Linked DNA regions of Rhinolophus ferrumequinum. The protein of the gene in region 3 purifies or fractionates together with the protein of the main gene of each other region. This does not show direct contact. Links are inferred from orthologs where the notes say so. Each region holds a gene or a part of one and is shown on either strand. Other genes may lie near its edges.

What was found.
Region 1: the proteins of NOP2 (region 3) and RRS1 fractionate together in Homo sapiens (co-fractionation; 3 studies listed by BioGRID and IntAct, with this or other methods). This does not show direct contact. The link is inferred for Rhinolophus ferrumequinum from reciprocal best matches to the Homo sapiens genes NOP2 and RRS1.
Region 2: the proteins of NOP2 (region 3) and NOP56 fractionate together in Homo sapiens (co-fractionation; 3 studies listed by BioGRID and IntAct, with this or other methods). This does not show direct contact. The link is inferred for Rhinolophus ferrumequinum from reciprocal best matches to the Homo sapiens genes NOP2 and NOP56.
Region 4: the proteins of NOP2 (region 3) and FTSJ3 fractionate together in Homo sapiens (co-fractionation; 3 studies listed by BioGRID and IntAct, with this or other methods). This does not show direct contact. The link is inferred for Rhinolophus ferrumequinum from reciprocal best matches to the Homo sapiens genes NOP2 and FTSJ3.

What each region holds. Positions count from the first base shown.
Region 1 is NC_046297.1:13,945,476-13,951,631, forward strand, and holds RRS1 (ribosome biogenesis regulatory protein homolog), read right to left. Parts: upstream 2,041-6,156; 5' UTR 1,935-2,040; coding exon 840-1,934; 3' UTR 556-839; downstream 1-555. UniProt on the Homo sapiens protein: Involved in ribosomal large subunit assembly. May regulate the localization of the 5S RNP/5S ribonucleoprotein particle to the nucleolus.
Region 2 is NC_046306.1:24,887,470-24,895,150, reverse strand, and holds the start of NOP56 (nucleolar protein 56), read right to left. Parts: upstream 3,092-7,681; 5' UTR 2,984-3,091; coding exon 2,981-2,983; intron 2,827-2,980; coding exon 2,737-2,826; intron 2,387-2,736; coding exon 2,272-2,386; intron 1,730-2,271; exon of another isoform or gene 1,662-1,729; intron 1,503-1,661; coding exon 1,341-1,502; intron 1,168-1,340; coding exon 969-1,167; intron 860-968; exon of another isoform or gene 728-859; intron 595-727; coding exon 407-594; intron 325-406; coding exon 173-324; intron 1-172. UniProt on the Homo sapiens protein: Involved in the early to middle stages of 60S ribosomal subunit biogenesis. Required for the biogenesis of box C/D snoRNAs such U3, U8 and U14 snoRNAs. Part of the small subunit (SSU) processome, first precursor of the small eukaryotic ribosomal subunit.
Region 3 is NC_046293.1:23,811,219-23,819,270, reverse strand, and holds the start of NOP2 (probable 28S rRNA (cytosine(4447)-C(5))-methyltransferase), read left to right. Parts: upstream 1-4,954; 5' UTR 4,955-5,097; intron 5,098-5,372; 5' UTR 5,373-5,376; coding exon 5,377-5,482; intron 5,483-6,496; coding exon 6,497-6,542; intron 6,543-6,671; coding exon 6,672-6,760; intron 6,761-6,934; coding exon 6,935-7,179; intron 7,180-8,052. Other genes in the region: CHD4 (chromodomain-helicase-DNA-binding protein 4), read left to right, coding at 2,204-2,399, 3,134-3,297, 3,472-3,489. UniProt on the Homo sapiens protein: S-adenosyl-L-methionine-dependent methyltransferase that specifically methylates the C(5) position of cytosine 4447 in 28S rRNA. Required for efficient rRNA processing and 60S ribosomal subunit biogenesis.
Region 4 is NC_046304.1:42,404,537-42,411,607, reverse strand, and holds the start of FTSJ3 (pre-rRNA 2'-O-ribose RNA methyltransferase FTSJ3), read left to right. Parts: upstream 1-4,040; 5' UTR 4,041-4,162; intron 4,163-4,244; exon of another isoform or gene 4,245-4,396; intron 4,397-4,465; 5' UTR 4,466-4,491; coding exon 4,492-4,558; intron 4,559-4,725; coding exon 4,726-4,831; intron 4,832-5,112; coding exon 5,113-5,159; intron 5,160-5,280; coding exon 5,281-5,360; intron 5,361-5,791; coding exon 5,792-5,891; intron 5,892-5,981; coding exon 5,982-6,176; intron 6,177-6,254; coding exon 6,255-6,370; intron 6,371-6,486; coding exon 6,487-6,591; intron 6,592-6,676; coding exon 6,677-6,777; intron 6,778-7,019; coding exon 7,020-7,071.

The DNA.
Region 1 (6,156 bases), on a different chromosome or scaffold from region 3:
TCAGTATGGATTTTGTGGGTTTTCTCTTCCCCAAAACAGACCCTATTTGAACCTTTACAAATTCAGGGACATAAATGTTGACAAAGATTTAAGTATTTTCTGGATTAATGAGGATCATTACCCCGTTATTAAACTTTATCATTTATAGCAAATCAGTGTTGAAAAGCATGACTCTTTTTTTCAGACACACCAGTTACACTTTCAATATTTGATACCAAAAGAAGCATAAATTTTTCTAAACTAAGTGATCTCACTGAAATCATAATTTAGCTGTTTTGTGTTTTTTAGACAGTAAATGAAAATAATCTGTACCAGGCATTCAAATCACTGGCTTTACTTAAGATTTCTACCAATAGTCAAGAGTTAAAAGCAACATTAGATACAGATACACTTTTATTAAATAACAAGTTACTTGTAAGGCCAGTTTTGAAAATGTAATCTTTCTGTGTGCTCGACCCCTCCCAGACACACCTGCTTTGATAAATACACAAGCTTGTTAGAAAAATAATACAGAAATCAATCTAAGTCTCTGAAATATGACCCTCACACCATACACAAAGTTAAAAAATAGAATTTATTCCTAGTTTCTACCAAATTCTTTCTCTAATTTTTAAGTCGTCAACTACATCCTTTACATCTCCAGCCAAAGTATTGGTTGTGGGAAAAACATTAATTTGTAGAGTCCAACATTTACATAGACTATCTTGAGGGGAGGGCAATCCTATCCCTTCAACCTCAAGCTCAATGAAGGCAGCCCCCTTATTCTGCATCTTCCTACAGGTCCTAGAAGTTAACATTTAGTGTAGTTCTTGGTTTACAGGCAGGTCCGAGGGTGAAATTTACTTCCTCCTCTTTCCTCCTTGGTGTAGCCCTCCTTTCCTATTGCCACCCAAGCGAGGTGGTCCGGAATTCATCTTGCCGCCCAAGCCCACTTTTCTTTTCCCTCCTTGGCTGGGCGGACCCCCTTTCCTCTTGCCTCCAGGACCCTGTCGGCCTCCCTTTCTCTTGCCCTTTTGGCTCATTTTCCTTCTCTTGGCCGCCTCCTCCTGTTCATCCTCTCTCATCTGCTTATTGGTGGCTCTCGTCACGTCCAGCTGAGGCTTTTTGCTGTTCATGAGTCGCAGCATCTCCAACTGGCTGTTTTTCTCGGCTGCAAAGTCCCCGAAGAGGGGCTGAAACTTCCTCTTCTTGCCGGAGCCCCGGGGAGCCTTCTCCTTGGGCAGGCGCTCCTGGAAGCGCCCCACTGAGGCGGTGGAGACCTTGGCTACCTGCAAGGCGCGGCCCAGCTCTTTCGTACTCTGGTGTCCCGTAGGGTGCATGCCAGCCGCGCTGGGCAGCTGTGTTTTGTGAGCGCGGGCTAAGTTACGCAGCCGGTTCAGCTCGTTCTTGGCTACCCGTTCCTTCTTAGCTTGAATCCGCTTGGCGAACTGGTCCTCCAAGGGGTCCGCACTGCCGGGCACTTCGATCAGCCATTCCTTGGTATCGTCGCGGGCGCGCTGGTAGCCCCAGCGCCGCCGCCACTGGCCGCTCACCTCGTCCCACACCAGATTGGTCTTCTTCTTGGGACGGATGCCCTTTAGGCGCGCGAACTGCTGCCATCGTGTAAGCGGCCGGGGCCGGGGCACCGGCTTCTCGCGCGGCAGGCGAGTGGTGGGCTCCGGCAGCTGCGCCACCAGCGCCTCCTCCACGCGCTCCGTGGGCAGCTGCCACAGCTGGTTGATGAGCAGCTGCGTGTTGTCCCGCGCCAAGGCCCGCAGTTCGGCCTCCGGCGAGGGTCCCCCGCGCAGCCCAGTGGGGGGGTTCCGGTCCAAAGCCAGCAGGTTACCCAGGTCGAACTCCAGCTCCAGCTCTTTGTGCACCGTGATGCGCTGCAGCTTCTCTGCCTCGTCCCGCTCCGCCTTTGCCAGCAGCTCCTCTACACTCTGGCCCTCCATAGTTTCGGCTGGGCTCACTCGCTCCAGGAAACCAGTTCAAATAACTTCTCCACCAGCGCCGGCTAAAACTAAGGCAACACAACCACGTGCGACCACCCAGACGCTCGCCCCGGAAGAGAAAGCTTCACTTCCGGAGCAACCGGAACTGGTGCACAATCCGGGCTACTCCAGGAAAGGCCGGCAGAGGACGGTGTTGGAGAGCAGATGGCATTCTTGGTGGCGCTTTTGGCTCGAGTCCAGATGGAGGCGGAGCTGGCAGGTGGGGCGGCGCAAATTCCTGGGGCCACATGTTGTGAGGTTCCGGAGCGACTCTGTCACGATTTCAGTGAAAGTGCGTTCTCAAGATGTTTAGCTAGACACATTATTTCACCAGACCCGCTCATCAGGGTCGTGGGCTTGGAACGAGACAAATGATTTCACCGGAGCCCCGACCCGTTCATGGGGGTCGTGGGTTTGGGCCAGGAAAGACACTTTGCACAGATGCAGGTGAAGCTAAGTGTAGAAGACTTGGTTTGCTTTGGGAGTGAGCGGGCTTACAGACCGCCCTGAGTGGGCGCGAGTGTCCGCCCCCCTCAGCTTGCTGAACGCCGGTAGCCCGGAGCCCGGCTCACATCCTCTCCTGACGGTGGCAAAAGAGCAACCGGCTCTGTGGTTCCACTGCCTGGGTTCCAATCCTGACTGCCCGTGTTTGACCTTCACCTTTAACTTGTTTGGGCCTGATGTAAAACCTGTAACCTCCTCAGGGCTGTTACAGAGATAAATGGGTTAATATGCCCCCCAAGGGAGTTTAGACCAGGGCCTGGAATATGTAAGTGCTCGATAAATGTTAGCTAAATACCAGCTATTATTTAATCTTCATAATGGCTCTGGGAGCTTAGCCAAAGAGGCAGTCTTAAACAGTGATTAAACACCAGGTTCTTGAGTCAGACTACCTAGAATCAGATCTAGGTTTACTATACCTACCTTGGACAGGTTGTTTAACCTAAGTTGTGATAACTTGTTATCATAAGTTTCCGGTACACGGTAAGCACTCAATAAATCTTAGCTGTTGTTATTCACCATATTCCTCTAATGACAAAGGAAGGCTCAGAGAGGTAAAATGACTTGTCTAAGGTTATACAACTAGGAAATCTGGCAGCAGGAGGTAGCTTACTCAAGGCTTTAGGACTACATACATATTCTCTGTAATGTCTTCCAGGCTCTCCATACTTTAAAAGTGCTCTCTGGATCAGCATTATAGCACCGGCGGGGAGTTTGTTAGAAAGGCACAATTTCTGGCCTCACCCCAGATGTAATAATTCAGAACCTTCATTTTAGTAAGATCTTTAGGTGATGAGCATGTATAATCAAATTTGGGAGGCACTACAGACTTGGCGCTGGTTGTGTGGTTTACAGGTTTTATTTTCCTTTCAAGGGAGGTTGGGCGTAGTAAAGGGAGTTATGCTGGAGAATTAACCTATAGATATGGACATAATATCCATTAGGAAATAAATTCAGTTGAGTTCCTCTTAGGGCTTTAGATTCAGCCTCATCTGTCATACCTGTCCCGAGTTTGGTCTCCTCTTGAACTCACTGTCTTTCCTCCAATCTCCTTTGTTCATTTACTCATAAACCATTTAATGAGCACATTTTATGCTTCAGGCATTGTGCTAGAATCTTCTTTCTTTCTCTTTTCTAAAAGGGTTTTAAGATTTGCCAGGGTTTTCTGAGCCTTTACCTTAACACTCAGCGCCAAGTCTGTAATATCTCATCCCCTGAACCAAGGCCGGGTCAATGACCAGAGTAGGTAACTGCTGTTAACCTTAAAGCTTCGGGGATTTGCTGTAGGAGGGAGTTAAGGACATTGACAGTTGCTCTGGACCTGGCTTAGCTTCTGATTCACTCATTCATTTAACAAACATTTGAATGACTACGATGTTCCAGACATTAGATGCAAAGATTATTGAGACGTTATGGAACAGTGGGGAAGAAAGAAAGGTAAAGAGAAATTTACCATATGGCATGATTGGGCTTTTAATAGGAAGTGCAACTATGTAGGATTTAGCTCCTCTGTCAATATTCTGAGTTAGGAAAAAAAGCGCAGATGTCAACAGGTCTTGAATGGTATGAATTCTCACTGGATGAAATGCTATTTGGTTTGAATCATACAGGTCAGCTCTCAATTGGACTCTACTTGTTTTATGTTCAATAGGGTTTTTTTTTATTCCAAGTGGAATTCAATTTCCTTGATGACTAGAGACTGATTTTTACTCACTTTGCTGAGCATAGTGCTGGATACGTAATAGGTATTTAATACATGATTGCTTGAAAAAATAAGCTTATTAAATAGACTTTTCTAAATTAAAAAAGGATTGATGTTGGCTATGTTAGATTTAAGGTAAACAAAACTATTAAAATTGGAAATTAATGCTTTAAAAAAAATCTTACTGAGACAAATAGGTAAGTGGAGGTCTCTAGCTTGCATTTGTATCATCTTTATGTTAGGCAAGTTTGTGCAGTGTCAAGAAAAAGAGGGATGTGCAAATATACGTGAAATTATTTTAACAGTACAGCAAAAGGTCGCACATATTGTCTTTTCCCTTTGCCTTTTCTCTTTGTTGGTTGCCCTTCTTCTTTTTGTCTCATAATGCAGACAGATCTCTAGTTTGGTCATCAGATCCTCCGTGTTTTCTCTTTATACCTGCTGTCTATGCCATTTCATCCCGTCTCATGGTGTCAGCTGCCTTTATTGTGTAGGTGGTTCTTAGAGGTACATCTCTATCCCTTTCCTTTTCAGAGCTTTAGGCTGAAATCTCCAATCACTTGCTGGGTATTTCCACTGTAAACTCAGTATGTTTAAGGCTACATAACATCCATTCACTTCTTTTTCCCCAAAAAATGTTCATAGAAGGCCTTTCATGCCCAAGATACTGTGCTGGACATTGGAAATACAATGGTTAGTAACAATAGGCTCAGTTGGTGTTATTGTCATTCTAGTCTAGTAACTTAGGCTTGAAACTATGACATCATTCTTGACTTTTCTCTTTCCATCTCCCAGTCCATCCAGGTAGAAAGTCCTGTTAAATTTGTCCTTGTGTATATTGTACCGTTTCTGTTCCCACTAGCAGGACCTTACCTCTAGACAGGGTCTATTCATTGGCTTCTCTAGATCCTCCCTCTCCACTCTGCTCTCTGCCCCTAGCTTCCAGATGGGTGCCACCAGCAGGAGATCTGAGAGTGTGACGAGAGTAAGGTAAAGCGCTGTGTGCCCCCAGCCCTCTGCAGATTGCTGTGGACTGGCTCGTTCCTCTAAAAGGCCATAATTCCAATCAGGCAGCACTCTCCACCCTCTTCTACCTCCTGTAACTACTTCCCTGGTTCTTGTAGGCCTTAGAATAGACACAGCTCTTGCTATTATAGCACTCTTCTTTTTGAGTTTCCTTAAACTATGCCCACATCTTTGTAATATTCCCTTTGTTGATCTTTCTTAAATTACCCAGATTGACTGCTACCTGTTTTCCTGCGTGGACCCTCACTGATACCCAGGGAGCTAACCCAGCAGCATCCCAACAGTTTCCTGCCTCCATTCTCTCTAGAGGACAGTCCTGAAGATTTATCTTCTACAGATCTGGCCAAGTCACTTTTCTCAAAAGCTGCCTTCTCTGCCTAACAAAATGTGATTGTACTTGGTCTCGGATGTTCATGATCCGGCCCCAAACAACTCTTTGTACTCACATGGCATATAGTGCTCTTTATGCTTATTTTCCAAATATTTCTTCCCCGTTCCTATTTTCCATCAACTGCCTTTCTGCAACCTTAAAAACATTCCTTAAAAAAGGCAAATATGAGGTGCAGGAAAGAAGAAGCAATCATTATATTTTTGTAGTAACTATTGTGAAGGTTTCCATTAACAAAAGTGAACCTATAGGGAGATTCCCCTGCCCCCAAAATCCCCCCTTCAACCAGGGACAAGAAGGGTAAAGATACGAAGGTAATACCTTTCCCATTTCCACAAAACATAACTACTTTGGTCAGTAAAACATTTTTGTAAGCAATTTCTCATTCTTTTGATACTGCATTAACTTAGATTTAGTTTCTAACGTTTCTCAGTTGCTCATTTTTGGTAGCGGAAGTTGTTAGGGATGATTCAACCATTTTTTCAGCATAGTTGTTTTGAGTATTTTTGTCTAGGAAATTCAATGTGCCAGTAATTTGATAAAGTAGTAGAAAATGGCCCTTAAAA
Region 2 (7,681 bases), on a different chromosome or scaffold from region 3:
ATCAGTCACAGAAGCTGGAATGGCCAACCTGCCAACTGCACAATCCTGCTTCACCTCCCCCTGACCCCCCTTCAAGGGCAACCGTGGAAGACATGGCAGGTCAGGAAATACAGCAGTACAGATATACATGGTAACATTGCTCAATCCCGTTTTTTCATTCTCCACGACGCACCGCTTCCCCAATTAGGGCCGACAGGCTGGGGGCTACTTGGCTCATCTTGGATCGCAGGTAAGTGTGCAGGCTCTGGCGGTACTCTGACAAAGACACCACACGACTGGAGAAGCTCTCGATGTTTATCAAGTCGATGGCTGATATGTCCATGCCTGAAGGACACCAAATGTGAATGCAGGAGCCAGATATTCAGAGCCCTGTATCTTACTTTGGCCGCCAGGCTTTGGTACTGACCCATGGAGGACCGCGAGGCATCCAGAATAGCTTTAGCTTTGGCCCCATCCATCGTCAGCTCTTCCAGCTTCTCCAACTTTTCTTCATTCAACTCTTTTCGGTTCCCAATGAACTGAGCAACGCGGCAGTAGGTAGCGTTGTCACTGATGATCTTCACCAGCTCGGGAAAGTGATATCCATACCACTCCCTGCAAAGAGCCCAATCTCTCCCTCACCCAGCTGCCATGTCTCAAATAAATAAAGCCACAGCCTCAGTTGTTTTCACAACTACTCTTTGCCGGGAGGAAGTGGGAACAAGTCAGATCCCAAACCTCCTCAACTCCATGTCTCCCCATTCACAATACAGACCAGGTAAAGGGCCTGGGCTGAGGTGTATATGAGGTGGGTTTATTCTGCCTCCTCTTTCTGTACAGTCAGTGTAAAAACACAGCCTGTGGTAAGCACCGGGAGGCCCAGCCCCACCCCACAGTTCTACCCATAGGAGCCAGTCCTCATCTCACGATTCAAAACTAGCTAAACCACAGGCCACAGCCCCGTTCTCAAGGGTTGCCCCGTACTTTACCTGACACGCATGGAGAAGGTGTTGATGTCCTTATCTAGCTGGTCCAGGAGGCTAATGGACTGGATAATCATATTGTCCACCCGGTTCACATTAAACTTAACTTTGGCACGAGAATAGCTGTGTCCCAGCCCCAGCTGGGCTTTACAAGCAGACAGATCGGTCAGCCCCTTCACCAGGTTGTGGAAGTGCAGACGAACTCCTGGAGGAGGGCAAGACTATGAGCAACGAAGGGCTCTGAGCTAGCTCCTGCACCCATGCGCACCAGCCAAGCAGGAGGACTTACCAGAAGCAACTTTAAGCTCCCTAATATGTTTCCGGAACCCCCTCAAAGATGTCAAGAATGGCATGAATGTTAACAGATAATTGTCTCACCTCGAAGGATTTCGGCTATCACGCCTCCAGTCTGGCAGTTGTACCCTAACTCTTCTTGTATAGCAGCACCAATCTTGGGGTCCCCAACCCCCAAGAGTACTTTCTTCTTTTTGGATGGCAAGTGAGTCTCCAAGAGCAGGCGGAGGTCCTCATGAACAACACCTCAGGGCAAAAAACAGAGCTCCCACTAACAGATTGAAGGATGCTTAAACCATAAAAGGGATCCCGTGTCCTCAACTGCTGATTAAGTGACAGACTGTTCTTACATTGGTCCAGCAGAGCATGCTGGGAAGGCATGCCTAGACCCCTCCCCTTCAGGCTTTGCTCAGAGACATGGAGACATCAGTGATTGCACTCAGGGGATTGACAGACTCAAGTCATCACTGCAAAGCGTGAATGGGTCACGGGAAGAACAGGACTCAGGTCCAATAGTACAAGGTGAAACGCATAACTGAAAGCTCAAAGCACACCCCTGAGCACCATCAACTACTAAAGTATTTAGCTCCAGATTTGCCTTCTGGGACCAAACCTTTTTCTTGGCTTTCATGTATGAAAAATGCTCTTTCCAATCAATTAAACCAAATAGTAGAGAACCACTTGTAAAGGTTTAGCACTGAACCAGTACCACCCCCCCCCCCCCCCCCCCCCCCCCGCCATTGCATTTGAGAATCATTTATCACTAGAGTTCACAGGGTAAGACTGCATGCTGGATTGTGTGCTTTAAATATAACATTCAGACCAGGAGCTCTGAAAGACTATTTTAAATCACATCCTGTACACATCAAATACCATCCAAAACATAATCAGATTTAGAATAAATTAGCCGAATAAAGGCAAATACTATCATCAACTCCCTAGGAGAAGAACTATACAGTAGGAGGAACTATATCTCTGCTTAAATCTCTGCAATACTTGGAGGTGGCCGACTCACCTTCAGACACAGCGTTGGCATTTTCCAAGGCAATCTGGGACGAGGCAAAGGGACTAAAGGCCACGAGACGAACGAGGTTGTGGAACTTGCCTAAGTTGAGCACGCACTCCTCCACCTGGGGGTAGAAAAAGGATGGGAGGTTCCTTCCCGCGCTGTCGCCTCTAGGGCGCAGTAAAGCAACGGTTCTCAGCCCTGGACGTATATAAGAACCAACTGAACACTTGAAGAATGAACCGATCGATTATTTGGCCCTAAATCCCGGTTCTTCTTCTTGGATACTGAGTGGAGGGCCGGACGCTTACTTCTAAATGGTCCTAACGCGATTCTAGTCTCGAATGCAGGTAAGGAACCCCTGCTCTGGAGCTTTCAGGCTCAGCGCACCCACAACGCGAGCGGCCGGCCACGTGGGAGCGCGCAGTGCATGCTGGGGACCGTGTGGCCCGCAAGCCCACCGCTTCCACCCACCTGCGGCAGCAGCAGGCTGATCTCCTCCACCTCCTTCAGCGCCAGCAGCGCGTAGCCAACCGCGTGCTCGAACAGCACGTGCAGCAGCACCTGGAACGGGAGTCAGGGCGCCAGCGTCAGCGTCAGCGCGGTCCCCGCGTTCATCTGGCCCCGCTCCCAGGGCAGGCTCCGGCCCTGGCTCTGGTCCGAACCCAGGCCCAAACCGCGGCCTTCTCCTCTCCCGCACCCCACAACCACTCCTCACCATGGCGCCCGCTCCTGGCCCGGCTCGCAATGCGGCGAGTGGGCTCTGGCGCGCAGAACCAGGCTCCGGAGGCCACGCCCCCGCGCCGCCGGCCAATCAGAGGCTGGGGACGATACCTTTCCGGCTGTTCGGAGGGGTCCGCGGGATGGTATCGCCTTAGCTTGGATGGCAGTGGAGGTGGCGCGAGCGCGGGCAGGGTGGCCTTTTCCGGCCTCAGCAGCGGCGCGAACTGACGCAGTTGCCGCGGACGCGCGGGCCGGGGCCGGGCCCTGCAGGCCGCAAGACTGGACGGTTTGGAAAAACGCTTTTCTGGATGATAGTGCAGGCCCTAATTTTTTTCATGATATAAATTCCGGGCCGCAAGGCTAAGGTGACATCGGTCTGGAGGCCCCGCGCTAGTCGCGGCCTCCGTTCCCAGATAAACTTGCCGAGCCCGCTTTCCGCGGCGCCGGTGACCTCAGGCTCCAGACCCCCCCGGCTCCCCGCATCCCCCAAAACCCCTTTCTTCCCGCCACTTGGGGACAACCCTCCCAGAGCCCCATGGCCGCGCGCCTTTTCCTCCTCTTGGGGGACGGAAGCGGGACCTGGGGTGCGCTGACGCAGTCACTCCTCGTGGCTGATTTTGTGTTTTTAAGTTGTATGTTATGTATTATTTTTTAAAAATGATGGTGGCAGGCGATAAAATAGAAAAGAAAGACGATTCCACGTCTTCTAGGTCAGTTTCTCCTTCCTCTTGAATAGAACCCAGCTCCTTTGCCGGGACCATGTGTTGCTCATCCTGTTGAAGGGCCCTTAAATCTGAACACCCGGTTCTCTCCGAGTGAACTGGAGCTGCTGCCTTGTGCACGAGGGTGGCTTTTGGAAACGCAGGCGACTTTCGAAATTACCTTTGCTTTAATAATTAATATTGAAACCTGGTTATCCTAAAGTAGTATGTATGCTGGTAAATTTAAAACAATCTTTAAGGGGATTTTTATAACTTAAATTCCTATAACTAAAGTACACTTACAAATGTAATATATTCTTTCTTTTTAAGCAAGTCAGTTACTTGACAAAAATCCGAGTACTGAGCTCACTCTTAAAACCCAACATATTAAACTTAAAAATATGTTGGTAAATCTTAAAATCTCATAATCTCAATATTGCTTGCAAACATGGTTAAATTCTGTTATATATATATCCACTTACAATTATGAGTCTGAATCAGTTCATTTCACATTTAAAAATGGAATTGCAAAAATAATCTGTAATGTTAAATTCTCTTAAACATTATAAATACCAAATTAAATAGTTGGCTCCTCAAATATATGGTGATGGAAGGAGAACTGACTCTGGGTGGTGAACACACAATGGGATTTATAGATACTGTCATACAGAATTGTACACCTGAAATCTACATAACTTTACTAACAATTACCCCAATAAACTTGAATTAAAAAAAAAAATAGGTGGTTCCAAAATGTGATGGAGAATATTAATGCTATGCCTTTGATTTACTTCATTATTTCTATACTTAATCCTAAATATTCCCGGAGTTACCAGTGCGTATCTACTAAGGTAGGAGTTTTCAAAGAAGTCAGAGTCCTTTAGGGGATTGCAGAATTAATTTAGACATTCTTGGCCAGCATTAAAAAAAAACACAGGATGAATGAGAATAGGAAATAATAGTACGTCACATAGAGTAAGGGTATTGATTTGTAAAAGTTTTGTCTCGGGTAAACATACACATACACATATGTATATAAATATACACATAGTATGTGCATGTAGAAACATGTACACACACATATATACATGTATATACATATATATATGTATATATACATAATGAAACACATTTCTGTGGATTAAATACAAAAAGCCGGAGGAGTCACTGAGCTGAAAGCTAACCAAGTCATATTTTAGATAAATGAGCATCTGAGTCTAAGCATAAGAACCAGGAGGGCTGATGTCCAAGGGGCGAAGATGGATGTCTCAGCTCAAGCAGAGATAGAACCAATCTGCCCTCCCTTCTTCACCTTTTGTTCTGTTCTGGCACTCAAAGTATTGGATGATGCCCACTCACATTTGGGCAGGCCAGCTGTTTTACTCAGTTCACCAATTTAAATACCTATTGCATGCCAGTTATCTTTCTAGGTGTAGGGATACAGTAGTAAACCAACAAGTCACTGCCATCATGGAGAGTACATTCTGTGGGGAGATGGAAAATCAAGTAAATATGTCATGTATCAGGTATTGATAAGTGTTAAGGAATCTTGCATTGTTTCACAGAGGTCCTCAGTGAAGAGGTGACATTTGAGCAGAGATCTTAAGCAAGGGAGTAAGCAATGCGGAGATCTAGGGAAATAATAAAGACAATGGTAATACTAACTCTTGACCTCTGACTTCAGAGATTTTGTAATCCAGGGAGACGGAACATAACCAAGTGCTGAAATGTAGTAGTATGGGAGGCTGACTGGAAGACACTTTGGGGGGAGCCTGGGCTCCTGAGGAAGACTTCAGGGCCAGAAGGGGTTTTACCCTGTTTCCCCAAAAATAAGACCTAGCCGGACAATCAGCTCTAATGTATCTTTTGGAGCAAAAATTAATACAAGACTGAGTTTTATATTTATATTATATTAGTGTTATATTAAAGACCCAGTCTTATTTTACTATAAGACTTATTTTACTATAAGACTGGGTCTTAAATTAATTTTTGCTCTAAAAGATGTATTATAGCTGATTGTCTGGCTAGGTCTTATTTTCAGGGAAACAACGGTAGGTATTTATGGAAGAGTGTGTAGGTCATTAAGATTGATGGAGGAAGGAGAGTGGAAGCAAAAACCAGAAATAACCTGCTAGAGGTGTAAGGTTCATCCTGGTCAGTAGTTGGACAAAGAACATGAAGGATCTAACATGTAAGACGCAGAACATAGGAAGCCTTGAATGAAGGCCAGGATGAGTGACTTGGGTCTGATGAGAGTCTTATTTTCCATCAAGCATTGGTTGATTAGAGATTAGTTTGGAGGTGATGTACAAGACAGATTTCCCAAAAAGTTCCAGCTGAGAAAATGACCTGCACGTGCAGCAGAGCTGAGGGGGAGCTGTGGGTTTCCCAGGCCTGTTCCAGACTCAAACTTTAAAGCCATGTGGCACCTGGGGCCTTTTCTTTCTCGGTAGATAGGACTATTCACCTATTGGGAAGGATCATACAGACACGGTAGCATCTATTCCTCTTTTATTTAGCCCCGTCTATGGCTCACTGTGTTATTTTGGTGTAAATTAACTCAGAATTTTTACTCTGAGCAATGGGCAACGCTAATGGAGACCTATAGAAACGGAATGTGCTACAGTCATGTGCCACATAAGGACAAACCTTATATATGATATGATGTGGTATACCAGATAGCGTAGGCTATACCATCTAGTTTGTGTAAGTGCACTCTCTGATGTTTGCACAATGATCAAATTGCCTAAAATTGCTTAATGACGCATTTCTCAGAACATATCCCCATCTTTAAACTGAGTATGATTGTGTTTAAACGCCAGTACTGGGCAGAGTTTCAGGAAAGGAAATTGCATGAAATAACCACAAGATGGCGGCACTTCATCCTCATTTTGCAAATGAGAAAACCGATCAAATTTGAAAGGCTCCTAGCAATTCCTCAGCCCTTTTCTCAAATGTGGAAAGAAACCCTGCAACAGTCTTTGGTAATGAGTTATACATATAGGCAACATTTCTTTCCATAGACACACAAGAATGAAAAGCATCCGAGGAATACCATCTAGGCCAGCGTTCCTTGTCTTTTTGGTTGCAGCTAACCACAGTCATGTTTTGGTTATGACTCTGAAGCCCAGAGTTGATTAGGATTATAGTGTAAAAGTTTTGTTTAGTTGATGCTGTTTGTGTTCATAACCGGAGGCTGAGGATGTTTGATCTTATCCATGCCTGTGATAATGTCTGTTATTTACCGATCACTTAGCATAATGCTTGGTTGGCACTTTGGGTGGGGCTCTATAGAGCATATCTGAAGTGACTTGACTAAATTAAGAATCACCAGTGTAGTGAATGCTGTTGGTACCCTGCCCAGGTCCCCTTACTGGCTGGTGCATCACTCTCAAGTTTCTGTGAGTGTACAAGTCATGGGGAGATCAGGGGTCCCCCTTGATCTTCACCGAAAGTGTGTTCCTGCTTATGTGAGTCTGTATGAAATGGAGCTCTTTATTAACACTGAGCATGTAGATTATCAGAAATGAAAGGATCCACCTGCAAAAATAGCTTCCGAAAGATAAAATTCAGTGTCTGTTTTATTTCCCCACAGTAAGGAGTATACAAACAAACTAGGGTAATATTAGTAAGACACCAGTTGTAATTCTCCGGATAAATTGTTAAATAGACTCCCTAGTTTAAATCATTCTTGGGTGACCTGAGGAAATAAAGAGAAAGGGTGAGGGGAGGAAGGAAAGTAAGAAGGAAGGAAAGAAGGAAGGAATGAAGGAAGGAATGAAGGTAGGAAGGAAGGAAAGCAGGAAGGAAGGAATGAAGGAAGGAATGAAGGTAGGAAGGAAGGAAAGAAGGAAGAAAGGAAGGTAGGAAGGAAGGAAGGGAGGAAAGATGATGGTCTTCATGCCTGATGGCCCCTGGACAGGCTGAATAGTGAAGTTTTAAGATGGAATGACCTGGAATGTCAAACCCAAGAACGCAGAGATGATAAACTTTAG
Region 3 (8,052 bases):
TATAGGTGATAAACGAGTAAGTATGTTGTAGTGTGAAAGCAGCTATAGGTGATAAATGAGTAAGTATGAATGTGTGCCAATAAAACTTTATCAACACTGAAATTTGAACTTCATATTTTTATGAAGTGTCACAAACTATTCTCATTTTGACTTTTTCCCAACCATTTGAAAAATGTAAAAACCATTCTTAGCTCTTGGGCCGTACAAAATCAGGCGGCAGGCCAGATGTGGCCCCTGTCATAGTTTGCTGACTCCTGACTTACTGGATTTGAGATGCAAAGGAGGGGCTGCCGGTTAGCTCAGTTGGTTAGAGCGCTAGCTCAGTTGGTTAGAGCGCGGTTCTCTTAACAACAAGTTTGCCAGTTCGATCCCCACATCTAGGGGGCCACTGTGAGCTGCACCCTCCACAACTAGATTGAAACAACCACTTGACTTGGAGCTGATGGGTCTTGGAAAAACACACTTAAAAAAAAAAAATCTGAGATGCAAAGGAGTGAGACTCCAAAAATAACAAGTTTTGAGCTCGAGTCACTGAGAAAGTTAAATTATCAATGGCAGATCTTGGAAGTGAGGAAACAGTTTGTAGAAAAGAATAAGTTCAATTTTAGGCAACTCATTTGGTGTTTCTCACGAGCTCACGCAGATAACCTTCCCACTACCCCCTTCACAATAAACAAGTGGGATCAAAGAGTGTTCATCCATACATGAGTGGGATCAGAACAGTCACTGCTTGAGCTGCAGGTTTGAAAAGCATCAAATCATTTGTATAAAGTTGCTGGCTGATGCTAGGAGAGGAGAGATTTCTTGGGAGAATGCTTTAATAGAACAGCAGCAAGCCAGGGGCTTATCCTGGAGAAAGCTCATAATTTGGGGGGGAGTTGGTACAAGAGACAGGGTGTACAGATTGAAAGTAGATGCTTGGTCACCCCAATAAATTAAAAAAAAATAGTCACGGGGATGTGAAGTATAGCATAGGGAATATATAGTCAGTTATATTGTAATAACTACCATGGTGTCAGGTAGATACTAGACTTACCAGGATGATCACTCAGGAAGTTATGTAAATGTCTAATCACTATATCGTACATCTGAAACTAATACAATATTGTATGTCGACTGTAATTAAAATGTTTTTTAATTTAAAAAAAGTACATACTTGGTCTGGGGATAAATTAGTAGGCCCTGATGGAGCCAGGTCTTGTTGAAATAATAGCCCATTATTCTCATACTGTCCTTTTTCCTGACCCCTAATGGATTCATTCTCTTTAAGAACCAGTGGATACTTGAGCAAATTAAGTCTCATAACTTCTGAATCAACATTCTGTCTCTTGGAATATATTTCAAAGAACCTTTTACAGAGCTCCATCAGGTGACAGGTACAAGAGTTTGTTGCAGTATAATTTTTGGTGGTGGGGCCTGGAGGCAACCATTGTTCAACATTGGGAGTGCAGATCGGTAAAATGTGGATTCATATCATGGAGCACTAAGCAACAGCTAGAAGCAACAAAATGCATGTGATATAACAACATAAATGAACCCTTTAAAAAGATATGTATGGAGAAAGGAAAAAAAGCATTTTACATGTACTGAACATTATTCTGTAAATTAGAAATGTGCACATGAAACAATACTCAGTCTTCAAGTATTTCACAAAAAAACATACAGTCAATATATTAGAAGGATTATCTATGGTGAAGGAAAGGAATGGGAGATGTAGAAACATAATTTTAAAGAGTAAAACAGTTGAAATGATAAGGTAGGTATATCTGGGATGGACTACTGTGCAACCATTAAGAATCTTATAAAGTACAGTCAGTAATAAAGGAAGATGCTTACTATGTAACTGAATGAAAACACATATATTCATATATATATAATTTCAATTATGTAGAATATATATACAAAGAAAAACCTTAGAATGTTATCTCTAGGAGGTGGTATTGTGACTTTAATTCTTTATACATTCTGTATTTTCTAAATTGAGTTTATCATTTTTGTATAAGAGTGAATCAATTAAGGGTAAAGAGTTTTAAAGATGTGGACCTCCACAAGGGAGTGAAAAAAAAAAAAAGAAAAAGGACAATGCAATGCTGCACTGCTTGGATGTGGGGGAGCTGTCGTAAGGTTCTTTATAGATTCTGAGGCCCATCAGAAATAAGTGAGTGTCAGTCCAACTCCCATCTCCTCTTTCTCCCTTGTCCAGCTCCTAGAACAAGCCTTGGTGATTGAGGAACAGCTGCGCCGTGCAGCTTATCTGAACATGTCAGAGGACCCCTCTCACCCTTCCATGGCCCTAAACACCCGCTTTGCTGAGGTGGAGTGTTTAGCGGAGAGTCATCAGCACCTGTCCAAGGAGTCAATGGCAGGAAACAAACCTGCCAATGCGGTCCTGCACAAAGGTAGCCAGTGGCTCCCCTGCCTCCTGCTGACTCAGCATCCTTCCTCCTCTGCCCCTCCCCCAACACACATTTCTTGTTTCCATAATGTTTTTTCAGAGCCCCTTTGGGAGCTTAGGATGTGCTGAGGATCTGGTGCTTTCCTCCTTGGGAAGTGATTATCTTAGAGGCAATCAAGGACAGTAATTCGTTGCCTCTTTTAACTCTTAACATAGTCAAGTTGTTGGAGGTGGAAAGCAAAGCAGAATAATATAGTGTCATCTGGGATACTTTAGAGGTGACTTCAGGTGTCTTTAAGATCCAATCAAATTCAACATTTTGTTTCTGATTAAAGTTAAAACATTGTGTGGGGGGGTGGAGGGTGAAGTGAGGAAAAGAAGGCTGTTACTAAGGAGAGGGAGACAGCTCCAAAAGGTGAGGAAAGACAGTGAAAAAAATGAAACAACAAGAATAACTTCTCAAGAAGTTGAAGAAATAGAGACAGTGGGAGCAAAGGACAGGATTAGGTGACTTTAAAAAGCATAGAATCATGGACTGGCGGAACTGGAATAGGAATAGAAATTTGAGCATGGTGGAGGCCAGGTCAGATGACTTTGATAAAAGGCAATATTAAAACACTCCAGCACACCAATCAATCACTTAGTCATTGAGAAGTCATGGGGGGCAGATCCACTATGGCAAAAAGGATCTCTGTCTTGACCACCACAGCTCACCACCTCTTTTATTTCCCTGTGCAGTTCTGAAACAGCTAGAAGAACTGCTGAGTGACATGAAAGCAGATGTTACTCGACTCCCAGCTACTATTGCTCGCATTCCCCCAGTTGCTGTGAGGCTACAGATGTCAGAGCGTAATATTCTCAGCCGCCTGGCAAACCGAGCACCTGACCCTACTCCACAGCAGGTAGGACCATTTTCTGCTAGCCTGCTGTTCCAGCAGAGCCATTCTGGATCTTGTAACTTTTGCTCTCTGTCCCTAACTGGGCAGATGGGGCTGTCTTACTAGTGAGTCCCCTTGGGATCTGGTGGATTCCTGTGGTCTGGAATTCTGACTCCTGTGGCTCTCTCTATTCTATAGGTAGCCCAGCAGCAGTGAAGATCCAGACTGATGATAAACACCTCCACCGCTGAGCAGTGACCTTCCTCACTTTCCCTTGCCCAGCTTCTCCCCTGGCGGCCTGAGAGACCCTCTCCTTCCTTCTGCCCATCTTCCATGTTGTAAAGGGACAGCCCCCACTGTACTGGGGGAGGGAAGGGAGTGAGGGGCAGTGGTGCCCTTCCTGCTGGAGAGACAGTGCAGCAGTAGCGCCGGCGCCATCTGCAGGGAGCTGGCGGGCTGGCCGCCTTCTGGGCCCTGGCTTTCCCCACTGTAACATCTGTTACACACAAACTGTTGTGGGTTTCTGCCAGGCTTGAAGAAAACGATCTGAATTTCTTCTTCCTTTTTGTTTTATTTTGTTGGTTTATTTTGTGTTTTCTTTTCTCCTTTTTTGGGGTATTCAGAGTGGGCCGGGCCCCTGGGCGAGACACAGCTACCTCTGTTGGCATCTTTTTAATACCAGGAACCCAGCGGCTCCAGCCACGGCTAGAATGAAATAAAATGGGGGAAAAAAAGAAAAAAAAAAAAAAAAGACAAGAACCAAAATCATAAAGCCACAGCAAATTTCTTGATGAAAATTGAAAATAAAAGTTTCCTTGTATTTTAGTGCTCTGGTTCAGTGTGGGTGTAGGTGCAAGTGGATGAATGTGTATGACCGGAGCCCTGGGAAATGTGTAATTGAAAACGAAAGTTTTTCTTGTGTTCTGATAGTCCACAAAAGCCATTTCATTTCATGTCTGTGTGCATGTGCCCTGTGTGCTCTGGACCAAGGCAAGTGGCATCCTATGGAACATGAGAGGCTTCAAAACGACCTGGGTTCATACCCTGTACTACCATTTAATGGCTGTATGACCTTGAGGAAGTGAACTTTTCTGGGTTGGGAGTTCTGTATAAAATAAAGATACCTTCTTCATAGAGCTGGGAAGAGAAAACCAGTTTTTAAAGCTACTAAGCACTACCTTAGTCCTTATTTGAAGGAATGCTTAAGGTTCTTTTTCGTGTGTGAAGTTAGCATGTAATGTCCTCCGGGCCTCCAGATGTGAACCTAAGCAGAGGAATCTTACCTGAAGGGCTGAGCAGGGGTCTCGGGTTAAGGAAGAGGGTTTCCTAATCAAAGGGTCGGGAGAAGGAAAACGACCGGATTCCTTGATCTTGAGGTGGGGCAGAGGGTGCCAGGAGGAGCGCCCCGCTATTACCTCTTGGTTTGGGGCGGCGGGGGGTGGGGGGCGGCTTTCAGGTACCAGTTTTTCTGACTGAAATCTGCAGTGAGACAAAAAATCAAGGCCGGGAGGGCAGGGCGGGGAAGCCGAAAACGGTTCCGCCCCCATGCCTTCATCCTCGGCGAGTAAGAGGGGAGCAGTCCGCCGCCGAATTTCCACCCGCCGCACCGCGGACAGCCTCGCGCGCGTTCCCAGGGCGCTCCGACGTTCCGGTTTCTGCCGCCGACAGGAAGCGACCGGAAGAGGCGGGGCCACGAGGCGAGCGCGCTCTGCGCCTGCGTGAAACGTTTCCTAGGTGGGTGGCGTTGGAACGCTAGCTTCGGATTGCACGTGGAGTGCTGTACCTCGTACGGAAGGGGTGTCTCGGGCCTGGACCCGCTTTCGGGTGAGCGGAGGCTTCGGATCGCCCCGGAGGAAGGCGGGGAAGGGAGTACTGACCTGGGCTAGGGCATGATGATGGAGACAGTACAAATGGCGTGGGATTCGGGTCTCATCGTGAAGGGAGGTTTGGTCAGGCTTCCCGTGGCTGCTGGGGGTGCTGAGTCGAGATTCTGGTCGAGACGATGCCCTTTCTTACTCCAATACGCTAAGGCTACGGTCTTCCTTTCCCTTTCCAATACGCGCGACTCCACCTTCTCCCATTTTTCTTTTCCCACTCAGTACCATGGGGCGCAAGTTGGACCCGACGAAGAAGGAGAAGCGTGGGCCGGGCCGAAAGGCCCGGAAACAGAAGGGTGCCGAGACCGAACTCGCCAGATTCTTGCCTACAGGTAAGGGTCAGGTATGCTTCTGGATTCTCCAGCTTTTACGCGTTCTTTCATTTGTATTTATAACCCCCTCCTTTTTTTTTAGTTTCTGTGTTTACTTTCTGTTCAAGTGGAATTTCTTTGTATGAGTTATTAGGAAGAATGAATGAAACGCTCACTGTCATCAGCGTTTAGAACTTAAGGAAGATGCGACAAGGACACAAGTACCCATGCAAGGAGGGGTGCAGTTTAACATTGAAGAAGTTCAGAGGAAGGGCGGTTCCATGCAGCTAGAGAACTTAAAGATTTTAAGAATCAGGGTTGAAAAAAGGGTGACACTTGAACAAGTGGAAATTGGGAAAAGGACAGGCTAGTCACTGTGAGCTGCACTGTGGAGGGGATGGGGATGGGAAAGCACAGGCCTGCTTTCCACATAGTGAATAGTCTGTGTGGAAGATGCCGTGGTAGTTTGTGTTGCACATTAGATTACAGACGCAGTTTATTGAGGTATTAGCAAGTGCTAGGCACTATACTGAACCTTTGCACACATTGTATCACTTCATTCTCTTAATGCCCTGTGAGAGAGGCACTGTTAAGGAAATGGATACTGAGAGGTTAAGTAACTTGCATATAGTTAGTAAATGACAGTGCTGAGATTTAAACCTTTTGTTTCTTGGAGCGTGTATGAAAAACAGCAGTTGTAAAGGTAAAATTTGCTGTGGTTGGTAACCAATTAAATTGAGGAAAAAGGAAAGGAAGAAGAAGAAAAGATAACTTTTGAATGTGTTATCAGGATGATGTATTATTTATTGAAATCAGAAGTCGGGAGGGAGGCCCAGTTTGGATTTGGTTGGTGAGATGGTGAGATCATCTCCTTACTTTTCTTATTCAGCTCCTGGGAGAGCACTGTAGAGTGAGTTACAGTTGGCTCCCTTTCATTAGTGTACTAATTCTCTCCCCACTTTATTTCCTCTACCTTTGTTCTTTTTCATATGCACTGTAACCTCCTGTTCTGCCTCTTTTTTTTTTTTATTATAGCTGGTGATGAAAATTCTAAAAGACTGTCTAGTCGTGCTCGAAAGAGGTGAGTGTGGATGTCCAGTCTTACGTAGATTAAATTGGTACTGTACGTCTTCAGCCAGATGATCTCCTGTGATGGGAAATGGTAGAACCTGGAAGTATGTTGCATTTCTTCACTCCTATATCTTTTCAGGGCAGCTAAAAGGAGGTTGGGCTCTGCAGAAGCCCCTGAGACGAGTAGGTGTCCTAGTGCCAACCCATTGACTAGAAAGCTACCAAAAGGTCAGTGAAAATAGTTGCTGGGAGCTATATGAGGTGTCCTGTGGGTGCTGGGTAGGGAATGGTTTGCTGCGCATTCCTGGAGAGAGGAACAGCCAAAGGACATCGTTGGGGGTAGAAAGTACAGGCTCCATCAGTGTGTGGCTATCATCAGTCCAGGATTCTTCAAACCCTTAGGGGTCTCTGCAGGAGCTGTCCGGACACCTGGGAAGAAGGGAGCCCAGTCCTTATTTAACGCTGCTCAAGGCAAGAAGCGCCCGGCACCAGCTCATGGCAGTGATGAGGAAGAGGAGGAGTGTGAAGAAGATGGTGTGGTAAACCAGGGGGAGTTGTGGGGCTCAGAGGACAGTGATGCTGACATGAAGGATGACTATGGAGCTGATTCCAACTCAGAGGATGACGATGACCGTGAAAGTGAAGAGGTGAGAGTTCTCTCTGGGTGTTCAGGAAGGGAGCCTTGCCTTTTAGAGTCTTTCCCAATCCTTATCCCTCAGTGACAAGGATAAAGATAAGCCTGAGTACAGAAAAGGGATCTCAATGTGTCGTCACTGTTTTCCTATCACCTCTACGTCCTCTTGGTGCACATGCAAGTTTTAAAAAGTTGTAGTAAAGCATTTTAGATATGAGAATGCTCAGTGCTGGTGAGAGTATGTGGTAAAGTGGACACTTGTATATCCCACTGATGGGAACAGAAAGGCACACACGTTTTATAAAGCATTTGGTATCTGAGAACCTTAAAATGTTTTCCTTTTGACTTAGTTATTCCGTTAGGAAGATGATCCAAAATGTGGGCTGGTTTATTTAGGTGTAAGAAATTACTTATGTATTCCACAACTAGTTTTTGGGTGTGTTATTAGAAAAATTCAAGCAATACAGAGTTGTGAACAAAAAGAAAGTTCCCATTTGCAGTCCTTTCCCACAACACCCCTTCTCTCTGCAGAGTTCCTATTATGAGATGTTGAGGCACCCTGTGGACTATAATGCCAAAAACTGAAAAATTCTAAAGTACCCAATAGGCATAAGTAAATTATGGTTCATTCATATGCTAAATTAACATTTCGCCATTATGTCTGAAAATGCTTGCGATCTGTGAATGAGAAAAGGCAAGAAACAAATTTGAAAATGCATCATGATTCTAATGATGTGAAAAATATAGAGTAAATCTGGAAGAAAACATGGCAGAATGGATGCCCAAGAGCAATTTTTGTGCCCCCCACATACATATGTGTGTATGTACTCGTGTTTTAAACTTTTTAATGGAAAGGGAAATATAAAAGTAGAACAGTATAACGAAC
Region 4 (7,071 bases), on a different chromosome or scaffold from region 3:
GCAGAAAAGATGGGAGCCTGTACCTTGGCTACTGCCATCTCAAAGTCCTCCTGTGTGACGTGGACTCGCCGTCCCGCAGGGCATACATGCCAGCTTCGGTACACACACCCTGAGCAGGGAAAGGAAGACAGAGGTGTTGCTGTGCCCTTGAACCCAGAGCCTCCTACCTCTGCCCCCTTTCCCTTGGGCTCTCCAATTACCTTCACTTCAGCCCCTGATGCCCCTGGCATGAGCTCAGCGATTTTTCTCAGGTTGATCCCACGGGTCAGGTTCATTTTTCGAGAATGGATCTTCAAATGTCCAACCGAGCCTAGAGATGGGAGAGGAAAAGACCTGAGTGAGCCCCACCACCTACCCACAGCCAGAGCCACTCCCAGCACTGCCCATCACGAACCTCCTCATTAGGGGGTGGAAATTCAATTTTTCTGTCGATGCGCCCTGGGCGAAGCAAAGCCGAGTCTAGGATATCAATCCTATTAGTAGCCATGATAACCTGAGTACAGAAAGGGTGTGGCATCAGCTAAGTCCTTCCTCAGGCCTCTCCTCACTTCACCCAGGGCCTTCCCTGGCTCATCCCATGGCCGACAGCACCTTACCTTGATATTCTTGGTGGCCTCAAAGCCATCCAGCTGGTTGAGCAGCTCCAGCATTGTGCGCTGCACTTCACTGTCCCCTCCAGAACCCCCCTCCAGCCGTGAGGAGCCAATGGAGTCAATTTCGTCCATGAAGATGATAGACGGAGCGTGTTCTCGTGCCATGACAAACAGCTCCCTCACCATTCTTGCCCCTGGGTCGAGGGCAAGCTGGCGTTACGGAGCTGATGAGCTTCCTACCCTAACCTCCACCCCCTCACTTCCACTTGCTTTGCATGTTTCTAGCCACAATTACCTTCCCCAATGAATTTCTGTACCAATTCAGAGCCAGAGACACGAATAAAGGTGCAGTCTGTATGATGAGCCACAGCCCGGGCCAACAGTGTCTTCCCAGTACCTGGGGGTCCATATAGAAGCACTCCCTGGAGAGAGACAGCAGGACTCAGGGCAGAAAGCCAACCCCACATTTCATCCCCAACATTTACTGAGTGCTTGCTCTGCTAGACCACACCAGACGCTCAGGGATACAGACAATGAACACCAAGGTCCCTTCTGCAGCTTGTATCCCAACGGCCTCAGCACCCGGCAGCACCTCTGTCCCAGGCCCTCTTCAGCTCCCCTGCACCTCCCGGACCCGTTTGGCCTGTGGTGTACACAACAGCGTGGTCCCCCCACAGAAGCCCTGCTCCTCACCTTAGGCTGCGCAATGCCCAGCGCTTCAAAGAGCTCAGGATGCTTAACAGGCAGCTCGATGACTTCTTTGATCTCTTTGATCTGCTTGTCCAGTCCGCCAATCATCTCGTAAGTGGAATCTGGCACCTTCTCCACCATCATCAGGGACACCAGTGGGTCCACCTTGTTGGGCAGGATCTTGTGCAGAGTGTAGCTGTCATTTCTTAGAGCCACCCGGCAATTGGGTGTCACCTGGGCGAGGGGAGAGCATTTCAGGATCTGGTGTGGGGACAGCTGACCCCAAGGTCCCCACCTCACCTGCTGTACTCACATCATTGATGTCAATGTTCTTGTCCACGTCCACGACAAACTTGCCCTCAGGATGTACCTAAAGAAACAAGTGCTGAAGCCCTTCCCTGATAGCCACCAAGTCACCAACCTCACCCAGGGAGATCCACAAGTCCTAGAATAACGTGGCAGAACAGCGTCCTCACAAGGCTACACACAAAGGTCTGGGAATGCAGCGGGTGGTCCCTGGGGTCATGCTGCCTTTACCTTAACTAACACTTTCTTCTTATCCATGGCCCGGACCACTTCCCCTACATAGGAGCCCTGCTCCTGTAGCAGCTGTAGCTCTTCCCGCAGCAGACGAACTAGATGGGAAACACATAGTGGTCACTCAGCTTCTTTGGTGTCCCCTCCTCCACCATTCAATTCAATATGCATGAACTAAGCACCATTTTGAAGTTCTGAAGGGAAGGCCACAAAAAGTCAAAATTCATGTCTTCAAGGTGGTTACAATGGGGCTCGGGAGAGAGCTCTGCACGTGAACTTTGTAACAGTGCAAAGCATCACCTTGGACTGGGGGAAAAAAACGCCAGTGTGAAGACTGTTCAGCGAGATTTGAACAGTCAGACCTCAGACCAACTGCCCACATGCAGCCTTCCCATCTTTCTCTCCTCACCTTTTGCATTAAGCTCATTCCTTTGTGCCTGCAGCCTCCGGAGATTTTGGCTCTTATCATTCACAATCAGCTATGGAGGACAAGAAACAAAGGGCAGAAAACAGGTTAAGATCTTAGCCAAGACCTTCAGAGGCTGGTATGAGCTGAGTGAGGAAAGAGCACAGGGCACCTGCATGTTGTTTCAGATTCTCCCATATGATTCTAACGACCCTGGCCTGCCCTCCAAGAGACCCTCTGGAGCCTAGGGCAGCCATCAAAAAATGCTGCTTGTCTAACACTGGTCCAGGAATAACAAACCCTATTGGAAAAAAGTTACACCTGGCTCATGTAGTCAATTTCTTGCAGGACAACATATCAACATGCTAGAGTGGGAAGATCTCTTGAGTCAGAAGCCTAAGTTCTAGTCCTCCTGCTGCCAATAAACAGCTAGAGAAAGCTAAGGAAAGCCATTTAAAAGGTCTAGTTCTGTTAACAAACTGCAAGTGGGCATAGCATCACCCACCTTGCTTCTTTTTAGGACTGTTGTGAGAAACAAATGAAATCACATGTAAATAAATTTCAAAAATGATAAATCAACTATAATACCTATAAATGTACCTGGAATTCAAAAATATTCCCTGTGGCATTCCTCCATCCAATTTATATCATTTTCCTTACTTCTATGGTCCCCGTTCCCTCTTCAGGGAGCAGTGGGTCACCCAATTCCTTTTCATTCAGTCCCATGAAATCAGTCAGCGTTGTCCAGACTCCTCAATTCTGTCTTCTGTTACACTCTCACTCTGTCCCAACCCCTCTCTGATAAATCTCATCTGAGCCCCTATCTTCCCTTTTATTGGATACCCTCTCAATCAGGCTTCTTCCAAAAGAAATGGCCCTTGGCTAGGGGTACCTTTTCTGCTTGACTCTTGAAGGGGTAACAAACTATTACTTCTTCCACTGCGCCTCCCAGTGGAATTATATGGATTTGTAAAAATCTCCATCAATTCTTCATCCCCGCTTCTAGTTCTCTCTGGACTTCTGGAGTCCGTCCTTACCTGCAGTTCTTCAATCTTGGACAGATAATATTGGCGGAGTCCACTTCCTGCCTTCCCCTCTTCCAGCTCCATCTGAAGACACAGTGTAATTATTAAACAACAGGCTAGCCCTCCAAAGAATAAAACCACCTCCAGTTTGGACCTTGGAGGTTTAAGATCTGGGTTCCAAACCCTCACTCCAATTGTTCAGAACCCTTCACTTCCTCATGACTAAACTAAAAGCAGACTGAGAATGCCGCCTACTTCATGAGACTTGCAGGAGGATCAAGAGACGATATACACAGAAGCGCTTTGTACCGAGTTAAGCGCATAACAGACCCGAGGTGTTATTACTAGAGGCGGAGCCAGTAGGAAGGACGGGTGCCCCGTCCCCTACGACTCGCTGATGGACCCGTTCCCGCTCCCATTGCTCCTCACTCCGCTTTCACTGTGTCATCCTCTCTTGGCCCTGCCCCGACCCGCCGGGCGGCGCTGACACAGCAGATCCGGTCCCAAGCAGGACCCAATCTAGACTGGTCCATCCAACCCCGACCCACCCGACCCTCTTTCCCCGGCCGGCGGCCCACCTCGGATCACGCCTGCTCCGCATCCAGCCCCGGTGCCCGCCCGGCCGCCGCCGCCGCCATACCTGCTCTGGCCCGTCAAGCGCCATCTTTCCCCTGTCGCGGAGAACGCCGGCATTCGGCCGCCTTGGCGCGCAGGCGCAGAAGCAGGGCCTTGGAGGCCGAAGACCGCGGCAGAGAAGAGTTCCGGGTCAATGGGCGGGGTGTGCGAGAGACGCTAACAAATAACAGGGGCCATGATAGGAGGGGTCTACGCGAGGTCGGGAGCTTTCGAAGGGGCTGACGAGAGCACAGAACTCCTAAGAGTTGCTCTCTAGAAACTCTGTTTTAATCCAAGTAATATGCTCCCTTGGTCCCACCTTCCAACTTATAAAAGCCGGCGACAGAATATATAGATAGCTTTTTTTAGTGTGTGTGTGGCCACACCCCAAATGGCGGAAAACGGGGCCCCGGCGCAAGCGGAAGCGGAAGTACGTTTGGTGCCTCCATGTGCCGTCCAAGAGTGGTGGAAGCGGCGTTGGCTGGTGTTGAGTGGTGTGGTTAGCTACAGGGCAGAGTGTGATTGCCTCGGTAAGTGGGGAACGGACACCGGAATCTAGTGCTTAGGGAAGAGACGTTCCAATTCTCCTTTCTCCCTAGGTTGAGTGACACTCCCCCGTTCCACCATGGGCAAGAAGGGTAAAGTCGGGAAGAGCCGGCGGGACAAGTTCTATCACTTGGCAAAGGAAACTGGTGAGTCTGGGTTCGCGCCTTCCGCGAGCTAGCGAACGAGCGACCTTGTTGAGTTCGTCCCCCTTTCCAAACATGAGTTTCTCTTCCGCAGAAAGGGTGGTGGGTGGTGAGTCTGCAGAAATCCCGCTGGGAAAGCACTCCGCGGACTTGTATTTTGTCGCCCCCAGGTTATCGTTCCCGCTCTGCCTTCAAGCTGATTCAGCTGAATCGCCGCTTTCAGTTCTTGCAAAAAGCCAGAGCCTTGCTGGATCTGTGTGCTGCGCCAGGAGGATGGTGCGTAACAACCAGCACCTGTCACCTCTGACAGCCAGCTTTCTAGGTTCCAGCCTCGGGTGACTGAAAGTTGCATTGGGGGAGGGAGTAATAACAATAATACCAGCCTCGATTTCTCTACTCCTCAGAACATACACTGCAGAGAAAAAGTTTGGAAGTGTACATAGGACATGCTCTGGCCACTGCGCTTGGCCCGGCTCCTAACACTGGGGGTGACAGATCACATTGCCACAGGTAGAGGGACAGTCCTAGGTATTTTAATCTTTATTCGTGTTTTATAGGTTGCAGGTGGCTGCCAAGTTTATGCCTGTGTCCAGCCTTATTGTGGGTGAGTGACAGGTGGCTCTCCCAGGTGTTTTAGGGGTGGGAGTATGAGGTATTGTGTTCTACATTTCCTTTCTCCCTGCTTGAGGCAACATTTTGGAATACTTGGACCTGATTTCTTTCAGGGGTGGACCTGGTTCCTATCAAGCCTCTTCCCAATGTGGTGACACTCCAGGAGGATATCACGACAGAACACTGTAGGCAGGTGGGGGAAATCTCTTTCTTCCTGTCCCCTTTATATGTAAACATCCAGTTCTGTGCCACTTCCCACCCAAATCTTCTGAAGGCAAGATTTTTCCTGTTTACCATGGTTTGAGCAGTGCCTGAATGATGTCTGTAAGCCGGGATATGCCTCATGTCTGTTCTACCTTTTATTTGGTCAGGAACGAGGTATTTGAAATTAGAAGAAGTGCAGAGATTTTAATGAAATCCTTTCCAGTGGACTTACTAGTAGACCATAAGCTCCATGAAGACGTAGACATATCATTTTTGTCATCATATCCCTTGTACTTGGTGCACTATTTGGCCCATGGTGGGCACTCAACAAATGACGGGGTGGACAAATGGCTGAATCGGGGACTCCATTTGTAGCCATTCCTGTGTTTCTATTGCCATAATCTCTTTCCCTCTCTATAGGCTTTAAGGAAGGAGCTGAAGACCTGGAAAGTTGATGTTGTGCTCAATGATGGGGCCCCCAACGTCGGGGCTAGCTGGGTCCATGATGCTTACTCACAAGGTGCCAGGAGTCGGGCATGGAGGTGAGGGTAGAGGTGGGCATGTCCTCTCAGGCTGCAGAGGTCTTCAGCTAACCATTTCTCTCCCACAGCCCATTTGACACTGATGGCTCTTCGTTTGGCTTGTGATTTTCTGGCCCGAGGTGGCTGCTTCATCACAAAGGTTTTCCGTTCCCGTGACTATCAGCCCCTACTATGGATCTTCCAGCAGCTGTTCCGCCGTGTCCAGGCCACTAAGCCCCAAGCCTCTCGCCACGAGTCTGCAGAGATCTTTGTAGTCTGCCAGGGTGAGCATCACTTCTTTCTCTCTTGACTCAGTTTCCCAACTCCCAAAGCACACTTTCTGATGTATCTTATCATCTTAGGATTCCTGGCTCCTGACAAGGTTGACAATAAATTCTTTGACCCCAAATTTGCCTTCAAGGAGGTTGAAGTCCAGGCCAAGACTGTCACTGAGTTGGTGACTAAGAAGAAACCAAAGGTGCATTTGGGGAATGTGGCCACCCTCAGTTCCTAGAACTCGGGAGATTGGGTCTGGAGGGTCCTGACAGACACCCCAGAAGGGACTGCTCAACCTTCTTTATTTCCCTCCCTAAGGCTGAAGGCTATGCTGAGGGTGACCTCACTCTCTATCACCGTACCTCAGTCACTGACTTCCTCCGAGCTGCCAACCCTGTTGATTTCCTCTCCAAAGCCAGTGAAGTGAGTCCCCAGACTTGAGGTATAAGGGAACCCCTGAGACATGGCCTAAAAATTTCCTTTGACTTTTACTGCTCCTCCCAAACAGATCTCGCTAGATGATGAAGAATTGGCACATCATCCAGCTACCACTGAGGACATACGGGTGTGCTGTCAGGATATCAAAGTGCTGGGGCGCAAGGAGCTTAGGTATGCAGTGGGGTGGGGGTGGGTGTAGGTGCCAGGAGCCCCAAAGGCAGGGAAAGGCCTGTGAAGGCCATGACATTGGATCTCTGGGAATAGGATGCTGTGTGCTGGGCTAGAGGTTTGGGGTGGGGTCCTGAGCCTAGGGCTTACATGACTCAAACATGAAATTTGGGGTGTAGGCCTAAAACAGGAGGGGCAGAAACACAAAGGGAGACAGTAAGGTCAGTAATGGTATTTCTGGGCAGGTCCCTGCTGAACTGGAGGACGAAGCTTCGGCGGTTTGTGGCCAAGAGGCTG